Regions from separate parts of the Mus musculus genome. Here all the other regions are reported to be linked to region 3. Evidence: microRNA targets listed by miRTarBase, many of them from high-throughput screens and not tested one by one. Region 3 holds a microRNA gene; each other region holds the end of a gene's coding sequence. Distances are from middle to middle.

What was found. The annotated mature microRNA mmu-miR-15a-5p reads UAGCAGCACAUAAUGGUUUGUG and lies in region 3 at 2,553-2,574, shown strand. An mRNA with a match to its seed (bases 2 to 7 or 8) in the 3' UTR can be bound and repressed. Matches are read on the target gene's strand: a 7mer-m8 pairs with bases 2 to 8, a 7mer-A1 pairs with bases 2 to 7 and ends in A, and an 8mer does both.
Region 1: the mRNA of Zcchc24 is a reported target of mmu-miR-15a-5p. Seed matches in the 3' UTR shown: 7mer-m8 at 2,357-2,363.
Region 2: the mRNA of Akap9 is a reported target of mmu-miR-15a-5p. Seed matches in the 3' UTR shown: 7mer-m8 at 3,280-3,286.

What each region holds. Positions count from the first base shown.
Region 1 is chr14:25,711,608-25,715,923 of GRCm38, reverse strand. Zcchc24 (zinc finger, CCHC domain containing 24) reads left to right here. Exons shown (of 4, transcript NM_001101433.2): 4 at 522-4,280. The coding sequence ends at 635. Among named protein-coding and RNA genes, the nearest start is that of Ppifos, 12 kb to the right of the region's middle.
Region 2 is chr5:4,078,970-4,083,285 of GRCm38, reverse strand. Akap9 (A kinase (PRKA) anchor protein (yotiao) 9) reads right to left here. Exons shown (of 48, transcript NM_194462.2): 48 at 3,082-3,627. The coding sequence ends at 3,590. Cyp51 (cytochrome P450, family 51) reads left to right here. Exons shown (of 10, transcript NM_020010.2): 10 at 1-2,612. The coding sequence ends at 161. Among named protein-coding and RNA genes, the nearest start is that of Gm40260, 3.9 kb to the right of the region's middle.
Region 3 is chr14:61,630,333-61,634,648 of GRCm38, reverse strand. Mir15a (microRNA 15a) reads left to right here and starts at 2,539; the gene lies at 2,539-2,622. Dleu2 (deleted in lymphocytic leukemia, 2) reads left to right here. Exons shown (of 7, transcript NR_028264.1): 4 at 2,166-2,212. Mir16-1 (microRNA 16-1) reads left to right here and starts at 2,677; the gene lies at 2,677-2,769.

The DNA of each region.
Region 1 (4,316 bases), 36 Mb from region 3:
ATGTAGTCATTCGATAAATGGGCAGGCACTAAGCCAGGAATTGGCTGGGGTTGACCCCAGACCCCAGATTGGCTTTATGGAACTAAGAGCCCTGTTGTCTCTGGGGCTGAAATGTAGCTATGTCCAGGGTAAGTGACTCCCAAAGCCACTGGATTGAAGGGACAGATGTGAGTTGGGGCTTCTCTTGACTGAGACTCAGTTTCTTCATCTGGTAGATGCCTTTGCACCCCTGTCCTGAATTTACTCTGGGCTAGATTTGGGAGGTTTCTAATCTGCATTCAGGGGGCAGTTGCCCAGACCTCTCTGTGGATCAAGCAACGTATCTGCCATGGGCTCTGGGTCTAAGAACCCTGCCTTGGTTCTTGCCAGCCCAGAAATTTCATCTGAGCCTCCTCTGGGACACAAGTGTCTGCAAACAGGCAAGAGGTGGGATGCCAAGGCACTGGCTGAGCTATCTCTGTAACTGCAGATTCTCTCCCCCCCCCCCCCGCCCCTCGGCCCCTTCCTCTCCTTCTCTGCAGAGACCCCTGGAGAAGCCTGACGGCCTGGATGTGTCTGACCAGAGCAAGGAGCACCCTCAGCACCTCTGCGAAAAGTGCAAGGTCCTGGGCTACTACTGTCGCCGTGTGCAGTGATCTTGGCCACCACTGTAGCACCCCTCAGCTGCCACCTCCCTGTGTTGCCCAAAGGGCTGAATGTCCGCATGCTTGAGGAGATGTCACGGGCCTGTGGGTTTAAGCAGAGGAGGCGTGTGTCCTTGTCTCACATGCTGGCAGAGTAGCTGACATGCTCCCAACAGGGTGCAGAGACAGGAGGCTCAGGGTCTCTTCACCATAGGCCTGGGCTCTGTAGAAGGACAGAGGCCAGCAGAGGTCTCGATGTTCTTGAAAGCTCTCATCCTGAGTGTCTTTGGAGGCTGAGCGACCCTGCATCTGCCACAAGTACACTAAATGAACTGTGAATCCTGAGGCCTGAGGGAAGTTCTCCCTCCAAGACCAACCAGGCCCTGTCCCACCCAGCACCTTGCAGCTTGCCTCGTATGAAAAACCACTCTAGAAAGTCCCAAGTCATTCCTGATCTGTAGCCACAGTGGACAGTCACTTCTTCTAGCAGCTACTGAGGAGTGGCCCTCTGTCCCTGCCCACACTGAGTCCTTAATCTCACCAGCCCTGACATCACTGCACTGTACCTGGTAGCTAAACACAGCCTCCCTCTGCCAATGAGACAGGCAAGAGGGTGAGGCAATGGAGACATCGAACAGTAACCAGTGTGCCAAGACATCCTAGGGACATGAGGCATCACCACTTCCCATGACCTCCCCCAGACTGTCCTGTAGGCTTGGGTTCTGTCACCTGCTCTCTCTCTTGACCCTTAGCCTCCCACCCATGACCGGGATGCCACCCCACAAAAGCCGTAAGACTGTTCTGGCATGAAGGAGGGGGGCCTTGGCAGTCTGGAGCCGCTTTCTGCCACTTGGGGCAAGGACATCTCATCCCCAGCCTTAGTCTCCCCATTAGTTAAATGACAAAGTGGCACCAGAAAACAAGAGGTCCCAGTGACCTCTGAACTTCTAGAAGAGAGCTGGCTGCCTCTGGAACAGAGTGTCACTAGGGGTCGGGGGTGGGGGGAGATTTGTCTCTAAACATCTAGGTGCCCCGCCCTCCAGCCTCTGTCCTGATAGCCACTTAAGATGTCCTCTCCTATAGCCCTCCTTACCTGATTGATGTCCCCATCCCCTGAGAAGACGAAAGAGGACCCCTCCTCCTCTTTCTCCTCAGCCCCCCAACACTGGGCAAGCCTAAAATGAGCCACAGAACCTCTCCTTTGGAAACTGAGGATAGAGATTTCCTACTTCCTAAGGAGGCAGAGAGATTACCTGGCATGTCACATGGTCGCAGGGTGGCTGTTGTCCTGGCCAGGGTCAGCAGTGTGCCCCCTACCCTGTGACAAGCCACACCTCTCTGGTCTTTCTCCTCTTCACCAGCTGCCAGGACTGACTTTCTTGACTCATACTATGCTTCTATGGAGAGAGAGAGGGAAAAAAAATCAGACCATGAAATCGGCCTGAAATTCAGTGTTTACATATGGTGCCCAGTTGCCTTTTGTTTTCAAATGAAAATGTTTTGTATGACTGACGTGAAGTGTTAAGCAAGGGTCCAGGGGGTAAGTGGAAGAGATGGTTGTATGTCTGCAGCAGCTAGCTGCAGGGTAGATTTTGGGAGAACATACTCTCTGAGCACTTAACAAAGGTATTATCTGTGGCAGCCCAGACTATTAGCTGCCACCGTGCTGCCCTCGAGTGGTAGCATGCTGGGCTGCAGACGGTGAGCATCCAGCACCAAGGACTCTCCAGTCTTGCTGCTGCACTAAGGCTGCCCCATGCCAAGCTTCCTGTTGCTAGGAAAGGGATTTTTTTCTTTTTGGCATCCCACTGGGACTCTAAAGAGGGTGTCATGGCAATAAACAGTGCACCTGTGTCCCAAATGAGGACAAATTGGAAATAGGTAATTTGGGTCAAAAATGCAAAGAGCTAGCGACAGTTTTCAGAAAGCCAGGGCCAGTAGAAGGTGAGCTATCAGCCTAAAAGGACCGTTTCGGTCACTAGACTGATGTCTGTGTACAGCCAGGCCCCCCGATCACCCGTCCTGCTGAACGTGTGATCTTCCTGAAGCTAGCAAAAGATGCCACTGTCAAGGCTGGGTGCCGGGAGAGTCAATGTTCAGAGGGCCTACGAGCCCAGGGGACAGGAAAGCGTGTGGTTGTAATACACTCAAAAGGGACAATCGCTTGCAGTCGGTAGATCTAGTGATCTAGTTGAGAGAGAATGGTGTTTACCCCATATGAAGTATTCAATAGCTCTTCTTGTTAATTTCTATTTATTTTGAGTTATACTTGACACAGAATTCTTTCTTTTTTTTAAAAAAATGCTATGTGTGTATTTTGGGAAAAAATTCATAGATGTTAAAATTTCTGCATGGTTACCAGTTTTTCTTTGGACATGGAACTTGGTAGCCTTCCCCCAGCCCCCAAATTCTTCATAATGATTTTTGTTTGTATATATTTGAGGGTCTTTTTTTTAAAAAGAAAAGAAAAGAAAAATATGATGGCTTGATACTATTAAAATGGAAAACAACAGAAAGGCATGCGTTTAAATGTCAGTGCTTTTGAAAGCGCAATCCATATCAAACTGATTTTTAGATGTATTTTGCAAGTCTGGTTGAGCTATAAGAAGATATTTATGGTGAGAACTTTTCCTTTTTTTCTTGTTATTTTTTCTATGCTTTGGTCTGTAAAAAGTATGCAAGTGAACTAGATTAAGGAGGAAATATTATCTACATAGAATTATTATATGACGCTGGTACATAATTCTAACGAGGAAAAAAATCTTTGCAATCTTTTAAGCTATGGTTTTTTTTTATTAATTTTGTTTTCCTTGGATGAAAATATCAGTATTAAGCAGCCAGTATATTATTCAAGTGTTTAGACTTATTAATATGCTCTTGTCCTGTATTTATACATTTGTGTATTTTGGAAGTATTGCCTTTTTAAGGGAAGTTATCAGTGGGCAACACGGTAAAAAGGGAACAGCGATCCTTTGTGCCTCTTCCAATGAAGATGACAGGTGGCATGGAATCTTTCCCCCTGCATCTTTGTGTCATTGCCTTGTTTCTACAGTTTTATTACTTTTTAGGAGAAGGGTGGGGAACTGACAAACGAAGAGGACTCATCGAACAAACAGACCCTTTGGTCTGTGAGCCCAGTGGCCTTGTCAGCAGGACCCAAGGAGGTACAAGGACCCCGGAGGAGGTTCCAGGCCTGCCTGGAAGCCCCATGCTCTTTGATCTTGGATCTGTCCACTAAGCCCTCACACCTGCCCCCTAGCTCTAATGGACTTGAATTTACTTTAAAGTCTAATCCAACCTCACTACAGTGTAGCCAGTGCAAAAACTAATACTGAAATGAGGGGTGTTTGCAGCCCTCTGGGAAGTGGAAATGAGGCTTATCCCCTGCTTCATGGCCAACTTCCCTGTACCAACTCCTGCAGCCCTGTGTGGTGACCCTGTCTGTGTCTGTATCTGTCTATGTGTGTGCACTCAGCTAAAAAGACAAACAGAGCCCGTGAGCCCCGCCTTGAGGGTACATGGAGAAAGTTCCTCCCCTCCCCGAAAGGGACGGCCTCGGGGTGGCATTCCGTTGTGTGCCTTATTCCTGGAGACTATATAAAGCTTGCCTATGAAAATATAGCCTTTCTGTGCTGTATTAAAAGGACTTTGGAAAGATGGAGGCTCGTGAGTTTGTATATGGGAACACGGGGG
Region 2 (4,316 bases), not on the chromosome of region 3:
GAGAAAATTTTGCCTATGTTCAAATTAAGACAATTTGGTCGACTATGCTTCGTTTATATGAATTTGACCTCATCAATGGATATTTTCCCACTGTGAATTATACAACAATGATCCACACCCCAGAAAACCCAGTAATCCGTTACAAACGACGATCAAAATGAGAAGAGGAACAAGAAGCCAGTGTGGAGAGAGGACCGCAAGCCGCAGCTGGCAAAGAATGAAGCCTCTGAGAAGCTCTCGTGCTGTACTGGGTTGAAGAGTGTGGTTCTGAGAGCCAGTTTATGATTTTAATGTTTTATTAACTCGGTGATTTTTGTCAGACCGAATGGCATTTGAAACAGTTTATAGTAGTTTTGATAGGATTTCAGGGAAGCCAAGTTTATGTTAGAAATCATTTGGGGGGGTGTGTCTTGGAATTAAGAAGATATAGAATGCAGCATCCAGGTAATTAACTCCACACATTGCCACAGGGAGATTTGGAACTGGTGTTTGAAGTTTCAAAGCCTTGTCAAATGCTACAAAGGTAATGGGGTCGTGTAGTTGGGCCACTTCTGTGCGTAAAGATATGAAAGGATAAAGGTTAAGTTTACTGCGAAGCTTGAGGTGGAAGTAAACGCTACTTAGATGGTGTGGTGTGTCCTTTGAAATGTTAACTGGAGCACCGCTCCTGGAAGATGGCAGCGATCTTGAACCTTGCCTTGATAACCTTAATTCCTAAAAGTAATAAAATCTAAAGAGTGCTTATGTATGTTACTGGTCCCAAATGGTCACAGTTTTGTGAAAAATCCAAAATCAAATCCTTGTAAGACTTTTTTATTTTAATTTGGCTTAAGGTTTTTTGTTGTTGTTGGGAAGTTTAAATTTACCAGGCTTTTAAAAGTGTCTGATTTTGAGATTAGTGAGTTCTGGCCTTGAGACTGGGGAATGGGAGATGGTATCATTGCCCGTATTCTGTGCTCAGGAGACAACCTAACAGATTGTAACCACGGACCCAACTCTGTGACATGCCCTTAATCTGTGTTAGGAGTAAGAATAGCTCTGTTGCTGGAGTGGTGCTGCACACCTGTAATGCTGTTATTCAGGACCTGCGGCAGGATTGAGAATTTGAGGCCAACCTAGGCTACGGAGCAAGACTAACACACTCCCCAAAATAAAACCTCTTTTCTCTAAAAGTATGTGTACTGGCTGGTCTTAGGCACTTGACACAAGCTAGGGTCATCAGAGAGAAAAGGAAGCCTCAGTTGAGGAAATGCCTCCATGAGATCCAGCTGTAAGGCATTTTCTTAATAAGTGATCAATGGGAGAGGCTCCAGCCCACTGTGGTGGTTCCATCCCTACGCTAGTGATCCTATGAAAGGCTGACCGTGACATGAGGAGCAAAACAGTAAGCAGCACTCATTTATGGCCTCTGCATCAGCTCCTGCCTCCAGGTTCCTGACCTGCTTGAGTTCCTGTCCTCACTTGATGATAAACAGTGATATGGAAGTGTAAGCCAAATAACCCACCTTCACCCTCGGGATTTGCTTTTTGGTCATGGTGTTTCCTTGTAGCAAGAGGAACTGAAACTCCGTTACAGTTTTAAGAGGCTTTTGAAGACTCCCAGTGAAGGCCTAAATCTCTGCTGTTAAAGGCTCCACATTAAAATTCTCTGAGAAAGTTTTACTGGTTTGTATTCATGAATTTGAACTTGTGCTTCAGTAAGTACAGTTCATGAAATCTGGGCATATGGAAGCTTACATCCTATTTGCCTGAAATAGGTTCCTTTTAGTATTATCTTTGGTTATTTAGGTAAGTCACTCTTGTTATCAATGCCCCATGAGAAATCAGGTATTTTCATAACAAGTTACAAAAGTTGCTCACCTCTCAAAAGTGTGCTTGTCTCTTACTGAGTGGTTGTTAGACTTTTAGGTCATAGATGTTACATTTGACGTGTTAGGTTAAAACCTTGATTAAAGTTTGAAGACTGTTTGTTTCTAAGTAACAGATTTTCTTTGCCAGTGTAGATGTTTTGTGTTTATTATTCCTAGAGGGGTTCTAGACTTTGATCAAGTCCCTCCTTTTACTGTGTGGTTGTTAAGACTTTTAAGTCATAGACGTGTTAGGTTAAAACCTTGATTAAAGTTTGATGATTGTTTCTAAGTAACAGATTTTCTTTGCCAATGTAGATGTTTTGTCTTTATTATTCCTAGAGGGGTTCTAGACTTTGATCAGATTGGTAGATTCCTGGCAGAGTTGTGACTTGAGTAAGGCTGTCCTGTTTACTGTCTAGTTTTAGACTTTGACATATTTTCAGTGCTGAGATTTAAAAGGGCTCAAGCACTAGAATTCCAGATTGAGATACTGACCACAGACGAGCTATTAAGTTATTGTGAACAACACAGCAGAGGCTGAGGGCCATAGGGTGTTAGTAGGGTAGACTAGCAGTAGGGTAGATTGGCTGGCAAGCACCTGTCCATCTGCCTTTTCCCGACTGAACTGTCTTGACTTGGCAACTGTATTAGTTTTTTAAAGAGTTTAATGCACAACTTTCCTGCTCAACTAGTTGCTTTAGAATAGTTTTGATATTTTTAGAAAGCCTAGTTGAAATTTGGGAAATAAAATTAGAAATTCCCAGCAATGCACAGCTTTGTGATTGTCTTCATGTAGTGCAGAGACCATTAATAGTGAAACACTCTTTTCCAGATGTAAACCAATACCACAGCTATTTTAGTCAGTGCAGTGCTAGTAGGGAGCCCTCTGGAGAACAGTATTCTCTCTGAGACTTTTCCAATTAGAATTTGGCTGGCTTAGCAGGACGCTTCCTGATTTTTGCTACACTCTTATGGATACAATTTAATATTGAGAGCTGATTTCTGCGTCTAGATTTGTAAGTCTCTTTGGACATAAGAACACGAAATGTAATAAAACATGGACTAATCATAAACACCAGTGCCACCTTAGTGTTGAAAACAGGCACATTAAGAATGTTCTTTAATGAAGGCAGAGCAAAACCACACTTTGGATCCTGAGCTGAGACAAGTAACAAGATGATAGGGACCACGAGTTGTGGCTTAGTGAAAAATCAAGAAGGTTCAACTACAGTAAGGTGAAAATGGTGAGGTCTTTTTATTTCAGTACTTGACAAAATACCCATAAAGTTCAAAACTTTGACCATTATACAAAAATAGGTCTCTACAAGTGATATGTTGTCTTCATCACCAGTAGCAAATATATTAAGCAGAAACATGTAACTTCAGTAGCTTTGTAAGAAAAGCGCAGGGCACCGCAAGGTACTCGTCCAGCAGCACTGTCATTTGAAAAAGTTTAATCTTTTCACCCACCTGATAAATACACAAAGTTTATAATTTAATCACTTAAATTAGCATTCCACAAATATACATGTAATTTAATGATTACTGTGCATGAACACACACACATTGCTTATATACACAAACTCCAGTTTGTCTTCATGTGCTGCTGCTAAGGATTTGTATACAATCATAAGCTGTGCATGTATTGGTCCCATCGAATATTCACAATACAAAAGCACAAAAGAGCCATTGATTTACAAAAGGGAATCTATTTAATATTCAATTAATGTTTCAACGGATTATCTCCTCATGCCAAAGTGAAATTGAGTAGTGGACCCTGTAAAATAGAAAACAAAGCAATTAGACTTTGCCTATATAATGGCATCCAGCTGACATGGGCAGATGGATCTGTTTAACACCATCTCAAAATGTTGGGGGCCCGTGACATTTTTCAGTGGTCAAGGTGCTGCCAAGCCCAACAATCTCTGAGTTTGATTCCTGGAACCCACATAGTGGAAGGAAAACCAATATGCAAATTTTCTCATTGCTACAGCATGGTTGTGCACACACATACACAAATGAAACCTGAAGGTAAATGAAACCTGAAGGTAAAACTTATTTTTTAAGTAATAATGTATGGTGTGTGTGTGTGTGTGTGTACGTACACATGTTTGTGTGAGTGCAGCACAGAATGCCCTAATTCACTGGATCCTGTAGAGATGGAGGTACAGGCAGTTATGAGCTGCCTGAGACGCAGTGTTGGGAACCACAAGTAGGTCTCTAGACAACAGTTTGTTGTTTCTCACCCAAAGCCATCTTCAGCCCTCAGCTTAACTATAGCTCCAAGAGGCTGACTATATTTAGAGGTTACCTTGACTGCCCTATAGCAAGGGAAGCGAGAGAGAATGCTGATGTATTTCATGAGCACTCTTAAGGTTGCTTGAATGAAAAGCTAAACTACCTCTAAACAACTGCAGTCGGCAGTATGTGGTATTAAAAAGAGTCCTTAAAAATGACCAGGGACTG
Region 3 (4,316 bases):
TGGGTGCTGGGAACTGAACCTGGGTCTTTTACAGCAACAAAATGCTCTTAACCACTGAGTAACTCTGCAGCCTTGCAACTTGAATTTCAAAAATTTCCATGTAAAAAATGAGCAAATTGAAATACATATTCAGTTGTCAGTGATCACCATACCTGACTTGGCCTAAACAATCAGTTTAGTTTTCCTTTCATAGCCATTAAATAAAATTTGGGTATGTTGTTGTTGTTGTTGTTGTTGTTGTTGTTGTTGTTGTTGTTGTTAGAACAATTTCTTTTTCAAATATGTTACATAAGCTCATTTTCCTAGAAAAAAATCACATGGAAATGGAATTTTTAACTATTTAGTAGTATGCCCTACAAATGATTCTGTCACTTTTCACATATCAAATTTTAGAACTAGGAATTTAAAATGTTTAGAGAAGAAACAGTTCCAAAGATTTTATAGTGGCATTATTGCCACATCAAAGATATTAACATACCCAGCTTTTAACTTCCCAAATTTGTTGCAGTATTTCATGCCTTTAGCTTTGCTATTTAAGTAGATTTTTTGTGCCCTGAGAATTGTTGCTCTGTCATCAGAACTTAAACCTGGTAGTGTTTTCTCCATGTTCTTAGACAACTTCATAAGATGGCTATGGTTCAGAAGCGTCCTACAAAGGCTTATATGTATGTTAATGGTTCATTTGCAGATAGGGAACCAGAAAGGGTCAGTGTACTAGAATAACAGCCATGGGAGACACTCAAAGGACAGTGTCAGGGTTCGGACCTCAGATTCTGTATTCTGTCATTGTGCTCCAACAAATTACTGGTTGCTTATTATTAAATTCAAAAAGTATCCCATTATTCTGATGCAGTCAAGATGATGATATAGCTTGGGCAACATGCCTATAAATGTTTGTGAAGTGCTAAGCTTTATGGAAACAAGATGAATTAATATTAGAAGTTTTATAAGGTAAAAAGTAAATGTTTCTAAAGAAAAATATTAATGGAAACAAATAGAGTTGAAGGGGGAAATAGGACAATTTGGTTTGATCTATCTTCTTAAATTGTTGTAAAATTCTGTTTTCTTATACGAATAATATTAATTTCAGGTATTTAAAGATTGCCATGTATTCCTATGTACACTCAAGTTACCTTCTTAAGCAAAACATTTTGTTTTCTTTTCAGAATGGCTTTTTTTTCCTTTTAAGAACATTAGTAAAAAGTTGAACTATGTAAAAACCCAACAAAGAAAAATTATTTTGGTCCTTAGGCCAGAATATAAACCACTGAATTTGGAACGGGGCATGATGGTGCACGCCTTTAATCCTAGCATGCAGGAGGGAAACCAGGCAGATAGATCTCTGAGTTCCAGTCCAGCCTGGTCTATAGAATGAATTGCAGGACAGCAGCCACTGTCCTCAAAACCTCTCTCAAAAAACCACTGAATTTGAAATTATAATCATTGTATAAAGATAAAGGACAAAATCACTTTTAGCAGCTTTTATCTTTATTTTCAGACTTTTTTTTTTTAAGCTGGCACACTTGAAAGCAAAGGTTTGAAGATTTAAAGACGTTTTGATATTTCAAATGACCCAACATGAACGGGAATGGAGAAATGGCATTGACCCACTAGAAAACATTTGCTACACAGTAATCTAGTTTGAATGGAAAATCTGGTATGAACTGGAATAATAAGAACAGTTCTTTGTGAAGGGATGGCTAAGTCCCCCACTAAACAGAAAAGAGTCTTCTTAATAGTGTAAGAAAACCTAGATATTCACACACACATAAAATGAAGTTGGAACTTAACGTAGTAAAAATTTTGTTTCAGCTAAGTCAAAGTCCTGTGGTATAAAATGATACTCCTTTAAAGGACTAGCCTTTTTAACTGGGAAACACACAAATGGTTACTTAGGCTTGAGCTACAGGATTTCTGATATATCCTTTTAGGAAACCAAATAGACCTGTTATCCTAAGATGATGTTCTGGGTAATAATAAATGACACTGAACTCACAATAACTATTCCAATATTGAGATAAATCTTGTGTTCATGTGTAGATTGGGGGTTATATATTTTTGGGGAATATGTTTCATGTGTATGTCTTCTAAATATTTTGCTAGTATAAATTTCTTGAAACTGAGCTCTTACATGTTTGTTCTTACATGTTTCCTTTAACATGAAGCTTTGTCCTATGGATTTGGCTTTGAAAGATGTGCTGCTCTTAATAAGGTAAAAACCAACTTTTGTAGCTATTTCATGTGTTAAGCACATTCAAAAGTTGTTAGTTTAATAAATGAGGTTCTTAAGTTGGTATGGGAAAATGACTTGCTTTTCTCGTTTCATGACTACAATAAATTACAGCACTGTATTAAGTTTTCTGTACGCTTTTATTAAACTTATGATATGGAAATACTTTTTATTCTGCTGAAAGCCTATAAAATTATGCACATACCAGTGTTAGATTTTTTTCAAACATAGATTTTATGTGTTCTACTTTTTCCTAAAAAGCCTTTTCTGTAAATTACTATTGAGGTGCTAGGAGTTTTCAAAACCAACCCTTGGAGTAAAGTAGCAGCACATAATGGTTTGTGGATGTTGAAAAGGTGCAGGCCATACTGTGCTGCCTCAAAATACAAGGACCTGATCTTCTGAAGAGAGTACCTGTCTTTTTATTCATAGCTCCTATGATAGCAATGTCAGCGGTGCCTTAGCAGCACGTAAATATTGGCGTTAAGATTCTGAAATTACCTCCAGTATTGACTGTGCTGCTGAAGTAAGGTTGGCAATACTCTACAACTGTAATTCAATGTGTATTGATGTTACTTGTGTGTTTACACGGTTTTTCTAATTGCATTAGTGATTTTATGTTTGGTATGATTCTGTAATGATGTTAGTAACAACGCTCTACATATTGTGTCTGTTAAAATACTATATAATTGTGGGATGGTAATGCAGCTCAGTTGGCCAAGTGCTTCTTGCTAGCATGCACAAGGCCATGGGTTTTAGCCTTACCACTGCATACCAGGTACACTTGTAATCCTAGATCTGAGGAAGTGGAAAAAAGAGAATTAGAGGCTTAACATCATCCTTGGCCATAAAGCAAGTCTAAGACCTATGTAAGGATCTGTCTTTTAAAAACAAACAAAACATAATGACTTCTGTGTGAGGAACTGATTATAGGACTTCTAGATACCCAGATTTGTAAATGCTTGGATCTCCTGTATAAAATGTCTGCTCGTGACCAGTGCATATCCTCCCTTATACTTATTTAAACTTATCTCTACATTGTTTTTAATGTGTAGTGCAGTGGGATGTTAACATGGATAGTTGTATTATTCAAGTTATTCTCTTAATGATGAGAAAAAAACTGTACAATTCAGTACTAATGCAGTTTTTGTCCAAGAAATAAGTTTTTTGGTTTGGTCTTTTGAGCCTGGGTCTCACCATGTAGACCAGGCTGCCATGAAACTCACTGAGATCCTCTTGCCTCCGCCTCCCAAATTCTTTGTTTAAAACTGTAGGCCCCAATGCCTGGCCACCCAAATGTTTTGAATGTGTGGTTGGTTGGATCCACAGATGGAGCACTGACTAATAATATAACAAGTATTTTTAAGTCTTGAACACCTTTCCAGAGTTTCTTGAGAGCTACAGTGGTACAGAATATACCCAGTACCACCAAGGCTCGAGCTCTCTTTCCAGCATTTCCATATAAAAGTTTATTTGAAAGAGTTTAGGAAGTACCAAATTGTACATGAATTTAAACTCATATTATTACTTATAATAGAAAAATACTTTTCTCTTGATTTGAAGTTTTCTTTAGATACAGATAAAGTTTGAAATGCTACAGATTATAACATAATCTTGAGTATAATGTGCCTAAATATTTCATTTTAAATGAAGGAGAATAACACTAAAATGTGTACGTTGAATTTTTAAACTTAAATTTAGAAGAATCCTTAGAATAGCTGACCTTTTTATTGGTTAACTGAGGAAACAATCTGAAATTTAATTTGCAACCTATGACATATTAGGGTATAAATCCTATATCTTCTAACTTAATAATTACTGTTTTTCTTATTTTTCACTAAAATGTTTAACAGGAGATTTTTATAAGTCAAAAGTATGAAAGACATCTCATCTGTGCCTTAATATTTAACTTCAGATTAAAGCTAACAGTCATTAATTTTATAAATATATTCAGAATATTTTAATTATTTCAAAGGAAATGTTCTTTTTTTTTTTTTTTTTTTTTAAAGATTTATTTATTGATTATATGTAAGTACACTGTAGCTGTCTTCAGACATTCTAGAAGAGGGAGTCAGATCTCGTTACG